Saccharomyces cerevisiae S288C: one gene and its partner. Each later gene encodes a partner of the first gene's protein in a complex. Each region holds a gene or a part of one and is shown in the gene's direction. Other genes may lie near its edges.

Region 1 (5,173 bases):
TTCAGTTGACCCAACCACTTCTGTTATCAGTTCAACTTCAGCAGACCCAACTACTTCAGCTGACTCAACTACCTCGACCGTTCAAACTACTTCAGTTGATCCAACTAGTTCTGTAGTCAGTTCCGCTCCAGTTGATCCGGCTAGTTCTGTTGTCAGTTTAACTTCATCTTACCCAACTAGCTCAAGCACTGTGACTATTTCTGCTAATTCAAACGGTTCAGCTACTTTAGCGGCTCAAACTACTTCAATTGATCCAGTTAGCTCCATCGTTAGTTCAAGCGGTGCAACTACTATCATCAGTAGCGCCTCAATTGATCCAGCTAGTTCTGTAGTTAGTTCAACTTCATCTGAACCAACCAGTTTTATTGTCAGTTCAACCTCAGTTTATTCAACCAGACCAAGTGGTCCAACTACTTCAACAGATCTAGCTACTTTCTCTGACACAATCATTCTAAGGGTTTCAACCACTTCAACCAGCCAAGATACCCAAACAGTATCATCTAGTCTAACTGATATGGTTTCCTCAACTGGTTCAGCTGATTTGAGCGTCTCATCCATTCAAAGATCTCAAGTAGACCCAAGCACTTTCGCTGTCTCGAATAGCCCAGTATATCCAACAGCTTCGACCGGATCAACTTCCACGGGCATTCCAATTGCGTCGGAAAGTCTAAGCCTTTCTAGACAGCAAGGAATTTCGGCCACTTCAAGTTCTTCGATTGTAACTTTAACCCCAGTTGATTCGGCTTCCTCGAGTAGGTCAAGCGCAACAAGTATAATCAAGCCTAATATGCCAGTTAGCAGCAATGATTCGAAGACCCAAAGTTCTGTTTCTGTAGTTGACGCATTCCAATCAACTAAATCTTCATATCCTAGCATAACTTCAGCAGACCCAACGACTCTAGCCAGTGAAAATGGTTTAGTCGGCTCATCTTCCTCAGCTCATCCAATCACATTAGATAGAACTTATGCATCAGCTCACGCAAGCGTCACCGATATTGTCAGTAGAGTTACTGACTCGACTCGCCATACAACACTAGTAACTTCAAACATTAACATTCAGTCTGAGGTTGGGAACCCAAATTACTCGGGTCCCAAAGACACTACCATCACCAAACAATCTGCATTTATGACTTCTCCTGCATCAACGTCTACTATAAGTAACGTTCAATCAACTGCTTCCGTAATGAATCACAGTATTGAGGACAATATTTCTGCAGCTGCCTCTCTAGAAAGTGTTTCTGGTACCTCAACTAAAGATTATTCTAGTCAATCCAGTGCCATTCATTATACAAATTCCTTCACGACCACCACTACTAACGCATTTATCACATCAAAGCATTCCATTGCTGCTGTATCAACAGGAGCCATTACATCATCTGCCAGCATTTCATTAATCATGGAAGGCAGCGCAAACATTGAAGCAGTAGGAAAATTGGTGTGGCTCGCTGCCGCTCTTCCTCTAGCTTTCATTTAGTCATTCTACCATCTTTCATGTCCCTACGCCATTCTCGTTCGTATACCATATAAACCAATTATAGATTTTACATAGAATAATAGTTAAATTTGATTATAGAATATCTTCGGATTCAATAAAAAATTATTATTATCAGACTCTTTCTGTCCACTCCTTGAAGTATGCAAAGTGCTTCGAGAACGCCATGACATTCGACAATTCAAAATTGAGAGAGGACTGCTAAGGAAACTCTTTGAGTTGATTATATAATCGCTATTTAATCTTTTAAAGGGGGAATACTGCTAAATTTTCATTATTGTACAACTGGAGACATGATAGGCCTGAAATGTGCCACCAAATTGCATGACCTTGCTAATGAGGTCGCTGGGTTGCGTATGCACTTTTTACCCTGCTCCGCGTCGAAACAGAACATAATACAGAGTAAAGAGGAAAGAGCGAAAATGAAAAAGTTTCTACACTCAAAAGTCAAACCTTTTTAAAAAGTGATGTTCAGATTCCTTGTTTAAGACAAATACCATTGAGGAAGGCGATTGACCCTAACGAAGTATGTCTAGGAAAAGAAGTACTAAGCCCAAGCCAGCAGCTAAAATAGCTTTGAAAAAAGAAAATGACCAGTTCCTCGAGGCATTGAAACTATACGAAGGGAAGCAATACAAAAAATCTCTCAAGCTGCTAGACGCAATTTTGAAAAAAGACGGTAGTCACGTTGATTCCTTGGCTTTAAAGGGTCTTGATTTATATTCTGTAGGTGAGAAAGATGACGCTGCTTCCTACGTGGCTAATGCCATCAGAAAAATTGAAGGCGCTTCAGCATCACCAATCTGCTGTCATGTATTAGGTATCTACATGAGAAACACCAAAGAGTACAAAGAATCTATTAAATGGTTCACGGCAGCTTTGAACAATGGGTCCACTAACAAGCAAATATATAGAGACTTAGCAACTTTGCAATCACAAATTGGCGATTTCAAAAATGCTTTAGTGTCCAGGAAAAAATATTGGGAAGCATTCCTTGGTTACCGTGCCAACTGGACATCATTGGCTGTGGCACAAGATGTGAACGGTGAGAGGCAACAAGCTATTAACACTTTATCTCAGTTTGAAAAACTCGCTGAGGGAAAAATATCTGATTCCGAGAAATATGAACACAGCGAGTGTTTAATGTACAAAAACGACATTATGTATAAAGCTGCCAGTGATAACCAAGACAAGTTACAAAATGTATTGAAACATTTGAATGATATCGAGCCATGCGTCTTTGATAAATTTGGTTTATTAGAGAGAAAAGCAACTATTTACATGAAATTGGGTCAATTGAAAGACGCGTCCATTGTTTATAGAACTCTGATCAAGAGAAATCCAGATAATTTTAAGTACTACAAATTACTGGAAGTATCCTTGGGAATCCAAGGTGACAATAAATTGAAGAAGGCTTTGTATGGAAAACTTGAACAATTTTATCCAAGATGCGAACCACCCAAATTTATTCCATTAACTTTCCTTCAAGACAAAGAAGAGCTCAGCAAAAAATTGAGAGAATATGTTTTGCCTCAATTGGAGCGCGGTGTTCCAGCAACTTTTTCCAACGTGAAACCCCTTTACCAAAGAAGGAAGTCCAAGGTTTCACCACTATTGGAGAAAATTGTCCTTGATTATTTGTCCGGATTAGATCCTACGCAGGATCCAATTCCTTTTATTTGGACCAATTATTACTTGTCTCAACATTTCCTTTTCCTTAAGGATTTTCCGAAAGCCCAAGAATATATTGATGCTGCCCTTGACCACACCCCAACTTTAGTTGAGTTTTACATCCTCAAGGCACGTATCCTGAAGCACTTAGGCCTAATGGACACAGCGGCTGGAATTTTGGAGGAAGGTAGGCAACTTGATTTGCAGGATAGATTTATCAACTGTAAAACGGTTAAGTACTTTTTAAGGGCTAACAATATCGACAAGGCGGTGGAAGTCGCGTCCCTTTTCACCAAAAACGATGATTCTGTTAATGGTATTAAGGACTTACACCTTGTGGAAGCTTCTTGGTTCATCGTAGAACAGGCAGAAGCCTATTATAGACTATACCTGGATAGAAAAAAGAAATTAGACGATTTAGCATCGCTAAAAAAAGAGGTTGAAAGTGATAAAAGCGAACAAATTGCGAATGATATCAAAGAAAACCAATGGCTTGTTCGCAAATATAAAGGTTTGGCGCTGAAAAGATTCAACGCTATTCCAAAGTTTTATAAACAATTCGAAGATGACCAGTTGGATTTCCATTCATACTGTATGAGAAAAGGTACGCCAAGAGCCTATCTGGAGATGTTAGAATGGGGAAAGGCACTTTATACCAAACCCATGTATGTTCGCGCAATGAAGGAAGCATCAAAGCTTTACTTTCAAATGCATGATGATCGCTTAAAAAGAAAGTCCGATTCTTTAGATGAAAATTCAGATGAAATCCAAAATAATGGCCAAAATAGTAGCAGCCAAAAGAAAAAAGCTAAGAAGGAAGCAGCCGCTATGAACAAACGGAAAGAAACTGAAGCCAAGAGTGTTGCTGCTTATCCGAGTGATCAAGATAACGATGTATTCGGCGAAAAGTTGATTGAAACCTCCACTCCAATGGAGGACTTCGCTACCGAATTTTATAATAACTACTCCATGCAAGTCAGAGAAGACGAAAGGGATTATATTTTGGACTTTGAATTTAACTACAGAATTGGAAAGTTAGCTTTGTGCTTTGCTTCTCTAAACAAATTCGCTAAGAGATTTGGCACCACGAGCGGTTTATTTGGTAGTATGGCCATTGTTTTGTTACATGCCACAAGAAACGACACCCCCTTTGATCCAATTTTGAAGAAAGTAGTCACGAAGAGCCTTGAAAAAGAGTATTCTGAAAATTTCCCATTAAACGAAATATCTAACAATAGCTTCGATTGGCTGAATTTCTACCAAGAAAAATTCGGTAAGAATGATATAAATGGCCTGCTATTTCTGTATCGCTATCGCGATGATGTTCCGATCGGAAGCTCTAATTTGAAAGAAATGATTATTAGCAGTCTTTCTCCCTTGGAGCCTCACTCCCAGAACGAAATTCTACAGTATTACTTGTAGCCTGCAACTCCTCAATGTGTCAATTAACTCTTACTTAATTTATGTATATATTTTTTATGTATATGCTTATATGCATGCGCATATGCTCATAAAAGATACATTGTTATAGGTCATTTCTTTTCCAAGCTACATCTAGCACTCCTTCCAACCATGGTCCAGGACAGCCAGGACCTTTTCTTGCCAAAATTCTTGCTTTCCCATCTCAGAGAAAAAACGAGGAATTTTTCTTTGTCCTCTTTGGCCGCCAGTTGCGGTAAAATATTTTTTTTCTAGGTCGCATAGTTTGAAAGACTTGTCTTTTTCACCACCCAAGAAAAATATATTTAGTGAAGAGATGTAAAGCCCATTCTCACGTATTTCAAGAAATTAGGCATCGCTTCGGTAGACACATTCAAACCATTTTTCCCTCATCGGCACATTAAAGCTGGATGACCATCCCACATATGAAATACGCCGTATCAAAGACTAGCGAAAATAAGGTTTCAAATACAGTAAGCCCCACACAAGATAAAGACGCGATCAGAAAACAACCCGATGACATTATAAATAATGATGAACCTTCACATAAGAAGATAAAAGTAGCACAGC
Region 2 (3,105 bases), on another chromosome or scaffold:
AGGATCCATCATATAATCTAACATTGGGAACTCCTGCTAGCTCCAATGCTGTCTTGATAATGACTCCTGAAACGCCAGTTCCACAAGAGCAAATAGTTGGTTTACTTGGGTCCAAAGTGCAATGAAAGTCTTTCAATGCCTTTTCCAAAGTAGCGTGTATCGCCTCCCCAGCTTCTGGGTACGTTTTGGTCTCCGGATCAAGTAAACTTCCATATGGTAATGGTTGGGTACCTGGAATATGCCCCGATGGAATGTCGGAACGAGGCTCTGGTTCTGTACCTTCGAATCTACCGAGCGACCTTGCATCGAAAGCATTGAATTTCTTAGCCAGTTCCCCACTCTTTACCAATTGGAACATTTCCTCATAGTCTACAATCTCCTTGTCTTGGAAACTTTCTGAGGACTCATAATGACTCTTTGGATAGGGTGAAAACGCTGCCACCTTAGAGGAATCTAGAGGGTACTTAAACTCTCTGTACTGGTTGAAATTATTTAGTAAGTACACCTTAGGATGTCCCATCACTCCTAATGTCCAAGCACATCTAGGGGAGCTAAAGTTACCAACACGATCGTAAACCACTAATATATCATCTTTTTGAACTCCTAAATTACTCATAGCGTCGTCAAAAACCTTCTTTGTAGGGAACATATGTGGATAGGGCGATTTTTTGTCACTGATTGCATCAATATCAAAGAAAATGGAGTTTGGTATACGTGGTTTGGTCAAGAAATCCACTTTATTATCAAGCTTCCAACTGGGTAGGTACCATGTTGCATCAACTGGAACGATTCTATGAACCTTCTCACTGGCCACTAACTTAACAAACGCTTTTGGAGAAATAAGATCAAATAATGGCATTGAATGTATGGGCAATTTTCTTCACAACTTTATGCTTTTGTCCTCATTGTTTGAATGCACTTACGCTGTATTATTGTACACAGCTGAACATCCCGAGCGAAAATTTTAAAATGGTTTAATAGACGAGATGAGAGATGAGCTCTTTAAAGGTACTTTCTAAGAAGAAAAGTATCGGAACAGGACTTACCACGACAAACTAATCATGCCGGTTACTAAATCTTTATCTAAGTTGCAAAAGAACTTATCCAAGAAAGGGAAAAATATCACGGTTCATCCGAAGGGTAGAAAGTATGAAAAGCTGGTCAGGGCTACTATGCGTGAAGATAAAATCGCAGCCAAAAAGAAGCTTCATCAAGACAAAAGAGTCCACGAACTAGCTCGGGTAAAATTTATGCAGGATGTAGTTAACTCTGATACATTCAAAGGGCAACCAATATTTGATCACGCCCACACAAGAGAGTTTATTCAAAGTTTTATTGAAAGAGATGATACGGAATTAGACGAACTCAAGAAGAAGAGGAGGTCAAACAGGCCACCAAGCAATAGACAAGTGCTACTGCAACAAAGGAGGGATCAAGAGTTAAAAGAATTTAAGGCGGGGTTTCTCTGTCCAGACTTGAGTGATGCGAAGAATATGGAATTTCTAAGAAACTGGAATGGCACTTTTGGCCTTTTGAATACTCTAAGATTGATCAGAATTAATGATAAAGGTGAACAAGTCGTTGGAGGAAATGAATAAGAAGTGTCGCAGAGGAATCTTTATGGTTTATATGCTCTTTATATAATTTTATGTATATTATAGTAGAAAAAGCAAAGAAAAAAAAGAAAATTGATATTATTAGCGAAGCTTTTTCACAAATTAATCCGTAACAAACAAATTGGCAAAGACAATTGAAGGGAGTAGTGCGAAATATGGGCCGTGATATATGCACATTAGACAATGTTTACGCTAACAATTTGGGCATGCTAACCAAACTAGCTCATGTGACAGTACCAAACTTATATCAAGATGCCTTCTTCAGTGCATTATTCGCTGAGGATAGCTTAGTTGCAAAAAATAAAAAGCCATCTTCGAAGAAGGATGTACATTTCACACAGATGGCTTATTACAGTGAAATACCAGTGGGTGGTTTGGTTGCTAAATTAGTTCCTAAAAAACAAAACGAACTATCTCTCAAGGGCATTCAAATCGAATTTTTGGGCGTGTTGCCTAATTATAGGCACAAATCCATCGGTTCAAAATTACTGAAGTTTGCAGAAGACAAATGCTCAGAATGTCATCAACATAACGTGTTTGTCTATTTACCAGCAGTGGATGATCTTACAAAGCAATGGTTTATAGCTCATGGCTTCGAACAAGTGGGCGAAACTGTCAACAATTTCATAAAAGGTGTAAATGGCGACGAACAAGATGCTATCTTATTGAAAAAACACATTTCTTAACAGATGGCTGAAAAATTTTTTTTTTTTTTTTGGTTTTGCTTTGTATACACATGTATCTATTTTTATAAAGATGAAATATATACGTCTAAGAGCTAAAATGAAAAACTATACTAATCACTTATATCTATTCTGGTGATTCATCATCTTCAGCTTCTGTATCCGTATCGATATCAGTATAATCGCTAGCATCACTTTCATCATCACTTTCGGTTTCGTCGTCATCAGTAGAGTACTCATCATCCTCCTCAGAATACACCTCTACTTGTTCCACTGCAGGAGAATCACGAACTTTCATATTCATGGTAATATCCAAATCTGTAGTGAAATAATCTGTGGATTTAACGATTACTCTAAAAAAGAAATCACCAACAGTTTCAGGTGCAGGCTGACCTAATGGAATTTTTATGGTCCCGATTTCCCAATCATTTATATCGAATTTTTCGTGTTTGGTTAAATCCATTTTTATCCTCTTATCAAAGAAATCTTTGTCATCGTTCAAGTTCTTGTAAGATAGCTTTTCAATGATAATTGGCGTTTGAAGTATTTTACCATCTTTTTGAGAACTTACCAGACAGCACCAACTCCCACGTCTCTTTGTAGGGAAAAATGGTGCAAAGGAATATGGGACGAGTGGCTGTTTACTCATCATAGCAAATGGATCTCTTTGAGATTCAAAATCTTGAGGTTCTGTTAAATTTTCTTCAGGAATTAAGCTAGTTGGTATCAATGGCTGTTTAGCAGAACGAACCAGTACTTTCAAAGAAATGTATGGGGTAGATGATGGTGTTACTTGGTTCTCACCT

Evidence for each region.
Region 2: the proteins of NAT1 (region 1) and NAT5 are in contact, whole or in part, in a cryo-EM structure (PDB 6HD5), measured with the Saccharomyces cerevisiae proteins. Residues at the interface, in NP_010244.1 of Saccharomyces cerevisiae: Pro376 (codon at 3,146), Thr377 (codon at 3,149), Gln378 (codon at 3,152), Pro380 (codon at 3,158), Ile381 (codon at 3,161), Ile384 (codon at 3,170), Asp412 (codon at 3,254), His413 (codon at 3,257), Thr414 (codon at 3,260), Pro415 (codon at 3,263), Thr416 (codon at 3,266), Tyr421 (codon at 3,281), Gln446 (codon at 3,356), Leu447 (codon at 3,359), Asp448 (codon at 3,362), Leu449 (codon at 3,365), Gln450 (codon at 3,368); in NP_014896.3 of Saccharomyces cerevisiae: Asn14 (codon at 1,811), Asn15 (codon at 1,814), Leu16 (codon at 1,817), Gly17 (codon at 1,820), Met18 (codon at 1,823), Lys21 (codon at 1,832), Val25 (codon at 1,844), Tyr66 (codon at 1,967), Ser67 (codon at 1,970), Ile69 (codon at 1,976), Pro70 (codon at 1,979), Leu99 (codon at 2,066), Asn101 (codon at 2,072), Tyr102 (codon at 2,075), Lys105 (codon at 2,084).

The regions. Positions count from the first base shown.
Region 1 is NC_001136.10:378,286-383,458, reverse strand, and holds NAT1 (peptide alpha-N-acetyltransferase complex A subunit NAT1), read left to right. Parts: upstream 1-2,020; coding exon 2,021-4,585; downstream 4,586-5,173. Other genes in the region: pheromone-regulated protein PRM7, read left to right, coding at 1-1,474; NAD-dependent histone deacetylase SIR2, read left to right, coding at 5,014-5,173. UniProt on the Saccharomyces cerevisiae protein: Non-catalytic component of the NatA N-terminal acetyltransferase, which catalyzes acetylation of proteins beginning with Met-Ser, Met-Gly and Met-Ala.
Region 2 is NC_001147.6:802,606-805,710, forward strand, and holds NAT5 (peptide alpha-N-acetyltransferase subunit NAT5), read left to right. Parts: upstream 1-1,771; coding exon 1,772-2,302; downstream 2,303-3,105. Other genes in the region: TUM1 (thiosulfate sulfurtransferase), read right to left, coding at 1-859; TMA16 (Tma16p), read left to right, coding at 1,062-1,598; protein-transporting protein SEC63, read right to left, coding at 2,427-3,105. UniProt on the Saccharomyces cerevisiae protein: N-alpha-acetyltransferase that acetylates the N-terminus of proteins that retain their initiating methionine. Has a broad substrate specificity: able to acetylate the initiator methionine of most peptides.